Linked DNA regions of Coturnix japonica. The protein of the gene in region 3 purifies or fractionates together with the protein of the main gene of each other region. This does not show direct contact. Links are inferred from orthologs where the notes say so. Each region holds a gene or a part of one and is shown on either strand. Other genes may lie near its edges.

Region 1 (3,568 bases), on a different chromosome or scaffold from region 3:
CGCTCTACTCAGGCCCCAGCAGCCGCGCACGGCGCAGCGCTGCCCCACCACAACACGGCGCTCACAGCCCACATCCCTCACCCCGCGGACAAGGCCGGGCCCGAAGCGCCGCGATCCCGCCCCGCTCCAACCTGAGCTCGGCCTGAGCTCGGCCTCCCTCCAGGGCCAAGGCCTAAAAATGGCGGAGCGAACCGCGCTCTCCGAGCCCCACTCCCGCCTCACACCGCACCCAGCCGAGCTCACCGTCCAGCCGGCGTCTCCCACCGCGCCCTCGCGGCCCCGCCGCTCGGCTCGGCTCGGCTCTTCGGCCCCGGAAGCCGCCGACGCCGCCTCACGATCCCCCGCCGCGGCCGGCCGCCATCTTCCTGCCCCCACCAGCGCCAGGGGCGGCGCATGCGCACCACGATAAGACGCTGAGCGGCAGGGAGGCCGCTCCACAGCCTGCGCATGCGCAATCGGAAGCCGCGCAGCCCTCAGAGCGTCCACCTTGTCCCAGTACAATCAGTGTATTGCAGAGATCTTCATAAATATGACAGAACACAGAAGCTTAATTAGAAATATCTTTTAATATCTTAGAAACATCTTTTTTAATTTACGCTAAGGGGAATAATACAAAACAACTGAGCGTATCAGGGCAGCTTTTGGTGCTCAGCTTCAGTACTGGAAGCTGCGTTTGGTCTGAATATCGTCAAGAATCTGCTGTAATTCCTCATCTTCAAACCGGCCCTCGAGGCTGCAAGGTAAGAACAAGGTGGGTACATTAAAGCTCGTAGGAACAGCCTCCCCTGTTCCCCTCTGAATTCATTTCACACCCATGCAGAGCCTCCTGTTTATGTGACAGAACTCCAACCTTCCCACAGCTCAGTGTGGAATGATTTCAAGTCATTGTACCAAAAGGTCAACCCGGGTGCAGGCCTCATGCTCATAAGCCAGTCCAGATTTGCTATGAAGAATGTGAGCAAAATACCTCAAGTTGTACCAATGGAGGTTTCAATTAGAAAGAATTTCTTCACAGAAGGGGTGGTGAGGTGTTGGAACAGGCTGAGCAGGGAAGTGCTGGTTGCCTTTTGTGGAGGTATTCAACAAACGTTTGTACAACTTAGAAGATTCTATGAAATCTTAGCATACAAGGGGAAAGCTGTACTTCAGATGAGTGTCTCATTCCTCCTCTATCTCAGGGTACGAGGTAACAAATGATGAGACGACACTGGAAGATCTCCCTGCCCCATCTGCACATTGTCCACCCAGCGGTTCAGAGGGACACTGCTGTTTGCTCCAACAACAACCAACAAACGCAGCTGGCTGGGCTGACAGCCCCAGTCTAAGCCACTGCCCAGAGATGTGCTGGAATCCCCACTTCTGGAGACATCCAAGGCCAGGCTCTGAGCAACCTGACCCAGCTGTGGGTGTCCCTGTTCACTGCAGGGGAGTTGGAGCAAATGGCCTTTAATGGTTCCTTCCAACTCCACGATTCCATCACTCTTAATCCAGTAAATGTTATCTAAAGTGCGTTAGGGATATTTAGATTGCTTCACTGTCAGATCAATGGGTAAGTGAAGAAAAACTGAGATGGAAGGTTTTCCCATCAGCAGAGCTGGATTATGGAGGAGGCATCTGTCCATGGGCAGCTTTACATCACAGGGCAGTACACCACACTCCTTTTAGGTATATAAATGCTCACCTGGGAATCAAAGCTTTGGCTTCCTCAGCAGTCTCAGGGCATAAATTGGCTAAACACGCCAGTTCAAACTTATGGAGCTTCTTCTGGAGCAGCAAGCTGTGAGGAAAGCCAACAACAAGACAGATAAGCAAAGCAGCATCAAGGCAAGCAGACAGCACACAACTCTGCTTTTTGACACTGCATCCAAGTTTATGAAGGAAGAAACATTACAACAGTGGATAGGTAAAAAGACAGACACAGCTGTGGGAAGCCCAGGAAACGTCAGTAAATCTCAGCTCCATCGAACAAGGCTGATGTTACGTATCACAGCCCAAAGCCTCGCACCCACCTGCGGACGCTGGCGATGGTCTCCCTGTTCTTGAAGCGGCTGAACCGCGCTGTGTAATTCAGGGTTTTCATGAAGACTTCGGACAGCTCCTGCTCATCCTCCGCGCTCTCGTTCTGCTGCTTGCGATGCTCCAGAAGCATATGGACCTCTGAGTTCAGCAGGGTTTCTGCCGTTTCGAATTCTACGTTGGAACAAGCAAACGTCAGTGTTTAAAACACGGATCCAAACAACAGCACGAGGTGTCGCCGCGCACCTTTGGGGAAGACGAGCTGCGAGGCGTCCTCCTCCACATCCGCAGTGCGCGGGTCGCTGCCGCCCGCCGCCATTGCTCACCCGGAACTGGAAGACATGGCGCCCGGAAGCGCAGCGCTGTGAGTGCCCGGCGCCCAGCAGAGGGAGCGGCGCCTCAGGTGGCTCCAGCTGCGCTGCACGGCGCTGTGAGCACCCAGCGCCTCCATCTTGATGCCTCTGAGGGAACGCAGCGAGTGATGGCTCCAGGAAACAACCCACAGCAGCATTACTTCTGGTGCAGTGTGGTAAATACATGGAGGTGTGTGTGGGAGGAGCATGGATGGCAATAGCAGAACACAATAGAAGTAAGGTTCCCTTCTTTGGCCTACTCAGGAATAATCCATAGACAGCTTAAAGCTTCAGGCAGGCTGGAAATGAGTGGGTTCGTCCTGGCACTGCTAGCAAAGTAGTGTTTGTAGTAGTACTTTCCCTTGGGAACACACATGAAAGTGCCCAACCAGCTTAAGACTTACAGTAATCATCTTAGGCTGCACAATGTCACCCCATGCCCTTAAAGAAATGCAGAAATAAATGGCTGGAGGATTCACTGTGAGGCCACTCCTGCTCTCCTAACGCACATCTGTGCCGGCTGCTGTGCTTCCTGCACCCTGCAGGTGGGTGAGCTCCACCAGGAGCTGCAGGATCAGATCTGAGCTCCTTAATGTTTGTTAACTCCAGACGAGCGTGGCAGAGAAGCGAACTAAAAACGAATTAGCTGAGTGGTACAAACAGAAAGACACTCAGGAAGATAGTGTGGAAATAGAACATCTAGTGAATGAGGCTATTTCAATTACGTTTACAAGAAAACAAGGAAATCATAGAATCATAGGCTGGCTTGGGTTGGAATGGACCTCAAGGATCATAAAGCTCCAACCCCTCCCCCCCCCACCACCACAGGCAGGGCCACCAACCTCCATATCTAATACTAGATGAGGCTGTCCAGGGCCACATCCACATGCCAGATTGATGAGAGAAGCCTTTTAAAATCATTTGGAATCCCAACAGCTTCTCACATACCCTTTCACCTCAGAACATCCTGATCTTCAAGCAGTAGGTAGCTTGCAGTCTTGGTTACAAATTTAACATCTGTTGTTCCCCAGTGATCTCTCCTACTTAAGTACATGAAAACTGAAAGGATTCGGGGAAAGCCACATACCTACAAGAGCATAAAGGTACAGCCAAGGAGGCGGTGGTGGTGGCTAACAGCTCCCTGTCACTGCTGTGCTTGGTTTCAGTCTCAGGTTTTAGACATGAGCTTCTGTTGCATA
Region 2 (4,077 bases), on a different chromosome or scaffold from region 3:
CACAACTGGAAGCCTGAAGGATGTGCCAGCCTACCCAGCCAGCCACATGAGATCAGCTGTTCACGGCCTGCAGACAGTGGAACCAGAGTGGGGAATTTCCAGCATGGAGGGAAACCGCTGTTCACAGCCCCCACTCAGGAAGCAGAGCCCTCAGCTTTGGTCAGATCCCAGCTTCCCAGCCAGCTTCCTGGAGCACATCAGCAAGAACAAGCAACGTGCACAGGATGGATCTCAGCACAAATGCTAGGAAAAGCTAGTTTATAAAAGGAGGAAGGAAGAATTTCATTGTGGAATGAGGAGGAGCTGACGAAGAGACAATACAAGAACAAAATGGAAACATAGAAGTAGTGGTATATAGGTCAGGTTCCTAGTGCTTGCACAACTTTGGGAACCAGAAGCTACTGAGTTTTAGCTAAAAAAGCACATGAGGGAACACAAACTGCACAGTACCTGAAACACTTGGTTTTATGTTTAACATCGCCTTTTCCCAAATAATTTGCTCATATTTAACAATGATAGCATTTGCTTTCATTAATCCACAAATCAGATTTTGTGAGGTGTTTACACAAGTTAGAAAAAAACCTGGCCTATTAATAGAGCACACACTTATCCAGGCCGGACAGATACTACTGACTAAATTAAGAACCTACACACTGCACGTTACTTGCTGCTCTTGAAGCATGTGCAGAGACAAGAGCGATGTGTGGTGTGTGCTATTGGGTGCATTGCTGAGCACTAAGAGCAATTAGCACGTGTGAGCACACTGTCCTGATCAAAGTGCCTTAGTTACACAGCACAAAGTAAAGACTTCATGTCTGTATTAGAATCCTTTACAGCAAGTTATGCTTTCCATCTGACAGACTGTTCACTTACAACAAAGCTGGCAGCAACAGCCCAACTGTGGCTCCAATCAGTCTTACCACTCAAAGCCAATGAAGAGATCTCAGTATGAATGGACTATTTCTTCACAAGAAACTCACACACTGCACTCCTTTTGCTTTCTTTCCCAAGAGGAACAAAAAATAAGTAAATTAGAAAATTGATTAGCACGTGACAGACAGGACAGTTTTGAACCATCGCTAACAGATCTCCTGTGCACAGCAAGGGCCGTATCCACAACAAAATACATGGCAACACAAGGTCTGCCTGAAAGTACAGTGAGAATCTCCTCACCTCCCTCATGTTCAAATTAAACAAAGTCTCTTTCCATTCTGAGTGTTTTCTCTCACACTGGAAAGCTGGCCAGACTAAGAAAGCAGCTTCTTCACTGTAAAAAAAAAACCAGAACCTCAAATTCATATAATGGCTTGATTGAAAGGGGCCTTGAATATCACCTAGTTCCAACCCACAAAATTATCACCTATTTAATTCTTTCAAGTATAATTAAGAAACTACAAACCCCTGAGATTCATGGTTAATCAGCAGATCAAACATCAAAAACCTGCTCAGATTCAAGTTCATTCCTCCACATCAGCTTATGATCTGTTCGCTGCACAGATTTTGGTAGCTTGAAAGAACTTTAGCAAATACTGAGAATCAGTGATGCTCAACACGCTTCTCATCCTAGTTTCTACAATGGAAAAAAAAAATATGGAAGAAGAATGAAAGGTCATCTGTTAGTAGTCTCAATCCACTAGACACAGCTATTGTAGACACTACTGCTTGGCCTGGAGTAAATTTTGTCATAAGAAGCAAGGGAAGTGGATAATGCATCATTCTACTTACGGTGAGATCTAGAGCTGGTCAAGAACTGAAAGATACCACTTCATGAGGAGAAAAAAAGAAGTGCCATTCTGTCCATTGTCTTTGCTACTACAGCTGTGCTTTGCTAACTGTTGATAGATGCTGGAATGTTTTAATTCGTAGAAGAAATGAGAGAGTGCAAGAGAGCAAAGAAATGGATATTAGACTCATTTTTTAATAAGTCATCAGGTGGCCAAAAACCACGATTCAAGTCTGAGCATTTCTTCCACGTGGGGTTATTTCCAGAAACACCTGAGGCCAGGTAGATCACGGCGATCAGTTTTGAAGCCGGGGCACGCCGGGCACCTGGACATGGATCACGAGATGCCCACGCCCGCACAAGGCTTGTAACCAGACCTGACCGCGTTTGTACCAAGCGCCGTGTTCACCGTGAACCCGCTGCCTACTACGCCCGCACTCCATGGCGGCGAACTACGCCTGGAGCCTGCTTGCTTGTAGGAACCGCGTTTGAATTACACTGCGAAACACTCAGGCAGAGGAACACACAAAGCTAAGCCCGTGGCTTTGCAGGGCGGCACGAGGCCGCAGACGGCGCGCACTCACCATCGCTCTCCGCCCTGACTAGCAGGGACATGCCCTTGAGGCGCTCCACGTAGCAGGAGGAGACGTGCCCGGTGCCCCTGTCGTCCCATTGCCGATCCTCGTTCAGCGTGTAAACCTTCACCCTGCGCCGGGTGTCAGTCATCGTGCCGCCGGCACCGCGGCCACCGCGCCGCTTCGCGAAGGCCGAGGGAGCGTGAAGGCGGCCGGGGGCCGGGCCCCCTCACGGGGGGAACGGGAAGGAGGGTGGCGGCCCCACGCGGACGCGCCAGGAGAGCTCCTCGTCCCGCTGCTCAGCGCTCCGACCAGATCCTCATGGCCACGGAGGCGGAGTGCCGAGGAGCGGGGAACGACGGAGAGAAGCGCTGCTCCGGGTCCGGCCGACAAAAGGCGGGCAGAGCTCCACGGGGAGAGGCGGCGGGGAACGGAACGCGGACAAGATGCGGATCCGGAGCAGTGGAAGCGGCGTCCGGCCCGGGCTGAGAGCGGCGGGCGGCCCGGCGGGCAGGGCCCGAGCGGGAAGCGCCGAGGCCGGGCTGAGGCGGGCGGGAAAGGCGGGCGGGAGCGGGACCGCCCGGCCCGGCCCGAGCGCGGCTCTTTGTGCGGCGGCCGCCCAGGCCCGGAGCCCCTCACTCGTGTCCGTCACGGCAGCGCAGCGCGGAGCCGCCCTCTTTCCGCGGGGCCGGGACCGGCGGGCGCTGCTGGCCCGGGGCGGGATGAGGCGGGCGGGGGCACTCAGCGCCCCGGCTCCCCCATGGGCTCCGGTCGCAGGCGGCGGCTTCGCTCTCAGCCCGACACCGCCGCCATGTTCTTCTTCTTCCTCCTCCTCCTCTTCCTCCTCCCGGTGCGGCTGTGGCGGCTCGGTCCCGGCTCCTTAGCGCGCCCCGCGGCGTGGCCGCGCTCCCGGCACCCGGTGGCGGAGAAGCGCTCGGCCCGACGCTGCCGAGGGGGCGAGCGGCAGCGGCGCGACGCGGCCCGTCCAGCCCCGCTCCCTCCGCCTCTGTCTCCGCCTCAGTCACTGCACGGCCGCCATCTTGGTTTCACCTCTCACTGGAGGCGCGGGGTCTCCCAGCCAGCAGCGGCACGGGCCGCCGGCCGGCATTTAAAGGGCCAGCAGCCCCGAGCGGGCAGCGAGACGGGGCTGAGTTCTGGCACGGGGATCCGCGCCGCGCCTGCACGGCGGCACCTCTACAGCCCTACCGTGCAGCCCTTACCGTGCAGCCCTTACCGTGCAGCCCTTACCGTGCAGCCCTACAGTGCAGCCCTACAGTGCAGCCCTACAGTGCAGCCCTACAGTGCAGCCCTACAGTGCAGCCCTGCCGCACTCCCCGCCCCGCCGGGATTGCTGTCGGCGCCTGGCCCGGTCCGGACGTGGGAGACGCGTGTGTGTGTGCGGGTGGAAAAGCGCTGCTCGGTCCCACTCCTCGGGAGCAGCTTTAACCCCTCGCTGCACTGTGACCCCGTATCATGGTTCCGTGGAACACACGGACACGGCTTCCTGAAAAGCTTTTATTGTTATGATCTTTCTTTTTTTTTCTCTTTTTCCCTACTCCAGTATAGCTGAAAAGCAAGAGTTAAACAGCTGCTGGCTGAGCGGCTGTTGGACCTCTACCGGCAGGGATAGGCTGTAACCATTGCAATAACAAACAGAAGCCGTTGAGCCCCTGGTTCTGCTGTTGCTCGCAGCGCCCAAACGCGTGTCTGACAGGCTGCCCTGCGAAGGGCGTGCGAGGCTGGCAGGGTGTGCAAACAGGAGGGCAATTTGGGCCCTGC
Region 3 (4,361 bases):
CAGGTGTGAGCCCTTGGTACAAAAAAGACATGGAGATATTTGGAAAGGGTCCAGAGGAGGCCACAAGATTGATCAGCGGCTGGAGCACCTTCCCCTATGGGAAGGCTGAGGGCGTTGGTTTGTTCAGCCTGGAGAAGACGAAGGCTTGCGGGGTGACCCTCATTGCAAGGCTTTCAATACCTGAGGGAACTTACTCCAGGAGGAGAGTAAACTCTGTCGAAAGTGGTGATAATAGCAGTAGGGAAATGGTTTAGTTAAAGAGGAACGATTAGGTTTGGATGTTAGGGGGAAGATTCATTCACTAGGAGAGTGGTTAGCCCTGGATAAAAGGCTCCAGGAGGTTGTGATGACCCTCTTGGAGGATGCTTCAAGACAGGGTTGGACGGCGGCCGGATATGATTTAGCAGAGGGTTGTTAGAGTTAGGGTACTATAGTTAGGGTGCGGTTGGACTTGATGATCTTCAAGGTCTTTTCCAACCTGGGTAATTCTATGATTCTATGATTTTATATTACATTAAGCAATGAACAGGCTAACTTTTGGAAAATTTAAGTGTGCCCATTAAAGCTGATTGGAGTCAGACACCGCATTAGATAAAAGAGGAGCCCAAGTAGAATGTAGATGCATAGATCTGGGTTGGCCCTGCTTCCCCACCCGGTGCTTTATCACTGACTCAAGCCATGGTTTAGCATTTCTGCTACACACACATATTACATGTTTCTGTACAGGTGTCTCCAGGAAAACCATCAACAACTCTTTTCTTAAACCTGAAAAGCAGTATTTGAATGCTAGTAACAAAAGTAACATCTCAACAAATAGAAAATATAACTTTACCTTGAGGCTCTTTAAGTAGTTGGACAACATACTTGGGTGAAAACGATTTTCTTCAGCAACCTGATCATCGTATCTTGGTCCTAACATTGTCTTCAAAGGTAAAAACTTCCCTAGGAAACACAGATTTGGCAGCATTATATACATACTGATGTATATGCACACTTGCAACTCAGTGTTTTCAAAGCAATACACCAAGCAGTTCTATAGGTTCTTCTACAGTGAAAAGTAACTGCGGGTAAAGTATCAACAACAACTAACTGGAAGCTTTTCTGAGCTCTGAGTTCACAGAATGTCACCCAAATAAGAGGGAAACCAACCAGACCATCAAGAAGCAGCACTCTCACACTGTTAACCCCTCCTTCCACACTAACTCATAGCTTATACTGCCCAGATTGATTCTCCAAATCCTGACTGTGGATGATCTTAATGCAGAAATCTCTCTTTGCAGTGAATCCAACAAAGCATCGAGCATGCTTAGAACTGTTCTAATTCACTTCACTGCTCAGACACTGCCATCCCAACACACCCATTCACTCCGTGGAAGTGTTGAGTATTTCAACGGGCTCCATTTAGTACTACTTGGGAACATACCGAAACCCCGAGCCTTGGAACCATTTAGGTGCCCAACTTCTGAATGAATGAGCTCAGTCACACAAACAGAAGAGCTCCAGACCTCCCTGATTCTTGTATTTCAGGTCACCTAGAACTTAAAGATGCCACAAGCATAAGAGGGATGCAATCAAACACGTGGTGGCTGTTAGCCCACAGAAGCCAGACAAACCTTGCTGAGTGACAATAGTACTGACATGCTATTAGAAGGGAATGAAGCCATGCATAGAAGCATGCGAATGTGTTCGAAAAACTGATCCAAAGTGGAATATAAAGCACCTGTGAGACAGCAGCAACTCCAGGAAAGTCTAAAAATCACATCTTGCTAAAATAGGTAGATGGCTTGAATGCAGAATAAGAAATAAAACACATGGCAAGACTGTGTTTAAGTCCCAGTGCCCTATGTGATGTTATGATGTAGAACACCAGTAACCAGAGCTCATAAAACATGACAGACTGCTGGTTCACTATGATAGGGGGTTGGACTCGATGATCTCTAGAGGTCCTACAATTCTGTGATTTCTGGTAGCTGCACACACACTAAATGCCTAAAAATTAAGCGAAGTGACATAAGAACGCATTATGATCCAGCAGCCAAAGAAACAAAGCGAGCAGTTCCCTTTATCTTTATGCATTAACTTGTGGTGTCTGAGCGCACAGAGCAGAACAGCCACCTTGCAGTTCCTGAACAAGCACAGCCCGTGCATTCAGAGCTCAGCAGATGACACGCTGATGAACTACAATCGTGCTTACTCTGGCCATTTTTTTTTATTTTTTTCTTTTTTTGAGCAGTCCTGGCTTTAAAAACAAACAAAGAATAAGAAAAACTCATAAAAACCCCACACAAACCAAACTAACTAATTCTAGAGACGGAGAACGTGCTGAGAGGGAAAACAAAGAGTAAAGATTCATGGGGCTATTTTGGTGGTGGTCAAAGGCTGACAACTCGCCCTGTTCCCTGCAGCCGAGACGCGAGGCAGAGATTCCAGCTCCGAACCAGCTCCGAGCTGGGGGCTCCGGGAGGCCCAAACTCCACGCGGTGCCGGGACAAAGCGCCCGGCGGGGCTGGAGAACGGGGGTCGGGTGGAACGGGGGGGACACAAGGGAGCGGGCACGGCGGGGATCGCCGCCGCCACGCAGCCACGCCGGGCCGGGCGCTCACCTGCCACGGGCTGTCCCCTCCTGGGGCAGTGGAGCCAGCGCGGCGGGATCTTGTTGTAGGACATGGCCGGGCCCGGGCCGAGGGCACAGGGGGCGGGGGAAGGAAGGGGCGAGAGGGAGCGGCCGCTCGGCGCTCAGAGCCGCCCGCGGCCCCGGGCCCGCGGCGCCTTCATTCAGACCCAGCTCCGCCTCGGCCCCGGCCCGCACTGCTCCGCCACCGCTTCCGCTTCCGGGTGCGCGCTGCCGGCGCCGCCATGCCGGGTGAGCCGGGGCGGAGAGCGGGGCAGGAATGAATGAGCCCGGAGCCAGCGGGTGACAACCAGCCCGCGGTTGTGCTGACACCCAGGGGTGCGCAGTGCCCTCCCGACCCACATCGCCCTGCGCTTCCACGGCCGCCTCGTTTCTGTTCCTTCCCCAGCTGCTCCCAGCAGCGCAGGTCGGGAAGCGGCCGGCAGGGGGCGCTGGAGGCCGAACTGAAAGTGAAAGCGGGGATACCGGCTTATCGCCTACGGGGGGCTGCCCCGAAAGTAATGCCTCACGTTTATTTCCACAGCTACTACGAGTTCTGCTGGTGTAGGTCACGCTGAGCTTTACCACGTTAGACTTTACGAAACAAGTTACAGGCGTAGGATGACAATTCTTAAGTTGTTTCTTTGCGAACGAGGCACTTCTCCTGTTATACCAGCAGAGGGCACACAGTTCCCACATTCTTAATACTGCTGTTACAAGTGTGCGCTTGCACTTAATGCTAATTAGAGAACCTAATCATGCAGGCATTTAAACACGCTGAGCATGCACCAGCTCTTCCATAAGGGAGGTTGTGGATGCCCCGTCCTTGGAGGAGTTCAAGACCAGGTTGGACGGGGCCCTGGGCAACCTGATCTAGTAAAGGTGTGTGTTTGGTGGCCCTGCCAGGCAGGGGGGTTGGAACTACATGATCCTTGAGGTCCCTTCCAACCCGGGTCATTCTGTGATTCTGTGAAGCCAAAAGAAAATGCTAATGGCTTAACAGGTTGTAAAGCACGTCCACCTGTTTGGTGTCAGGAAATAATGAAGAAACTGAGTTCTAAGGCAAATCAATTATTCTTCCGTGTTTGGAAATGAAAATAAGACTTTAAAAGGAATTATTGTAACCCTTGAGTGTATCAAATAACAAAAAGGGTTGTTCAAACCAAGTTCTTTGATATATTGGAGATGTCATTTGCAGTGTTCTTCCTGCAGAGAGCATTGAGAGTTCAGCAACAAAATCACCAGTCTGTAATCTTCATAACATTAGGGGGCACCACAGTCTCACAGACATAACATGATGTAAGCTGAAGTATAGTTAATTCTCCTATCCAAACTAAACAGGAAACAGCATGAAGCCAGTCTAATCAGCTCCTGGAGCTGTTCCATAATGCAAGATTGTGATACAGTTCCTAACAGAAATTCCAACAGAAGACAAGCCAGACTTCTAGTAGAGCACAGAGTACACCCAGAGTAATAAAACTCGCAGACTAATAGATGCAACTTGCTTTCAAGTCTTCATGTGAATCTTAAATTTCCCTTCAGGGCTTCATTATGGGAAATTAAAGGCACAAGCCTTTAAGGTATTAGTGTTTGTAGAATATAGTTCTGCATAGGCAGGGAGGATGCAGAGAGCTTCAGATGGAGCTACTTTAAATCCAGGTCCCTGAACTGGACATCGTGCTAGAAAGGAATCAGAAAGCTGTGTGTCTGCAAACCCTCCTCTCACCTACAGGAGGAGGAAAGTATCTGG

Evidence for each region.
Region 1: the proteins of RNGTT (region 3) and POLR2D purify together in Homo sapiens (affinity purification with mass spectrometry; 3 studies listed by BioGRID and IntAct, with this or other methods). This does not show direct contact. The link is inferred for Coturnix japonica from reciprocal best matches to the Homo sapiens genes RNGTT and POLR2D.
Region 2: the proteins of RNGTT (region 3) and PPP4R3A purify together in Homo sapiens (affinity purification with mass spectrometry; 3 studies listed by BioGRID and IntAct, with this or other methods). This does not show direct contact. The link is inferred for Coturnix japonica from reciprocal best matches to the Homo sapiens genes RNGTT and PPP4R3A.

What each region holds. Positions count from the first base shown.
Region 1 is NC_029524.1:1,664,660-1,668,227, reverse strand, and holds POLR2D (DNA-directed RNA polymerase II subunit RPB4), read right to left. Parts: upstream 2,391-3,568; 5' UTR 2,336-2,390; coding exon 2,263-2,335; intron 2,191-2,262; coding exon 2,010-2,190; intron 1,778-2,009; coding exon 1,682-1,777; intron 734-1,681; coding exon 655-733; 3' UTR 548-654; downstream 1-547. UniProt on the Homo sapiens protein: Core component of RNA polymerase II (Pol II), a DNA-dependent RNA polymerase which synthesizes mRNA precursors and many functional non-coding RNAs using the four ribonucleoside triphosphates as substrates.
Region 2 is NC_029520.1:40,252,204-40,256,280, forward strand, and holds the start of PPP4R3A (serine/threonine-protein phosphatase 4 regulatory subunit 3A), read right to left. Parts: upstream 2,854-4,077; 5' UTR 2,450-2,853; coding exon 2,308-2,449; intron 1-2,307. UniProt on the Homo sapiens protein: Regulatory subunit of serine/threonine-protein phosphatase 4. May regulate the activity of PPP4C at centrosomal microtubule organizing centers.
Region 3 is NC_029518.1:69,078,605-69,082,965, reverse strand, and holds the start of RNGTT (mRNA-capping enzyme), read right to left. Parts: upstream 2,825-4,361; 5' UTR 2,668-2,824; coding exon 2,604-2,667; intron 943-2,603; coding exon 833-942; intron 1-832.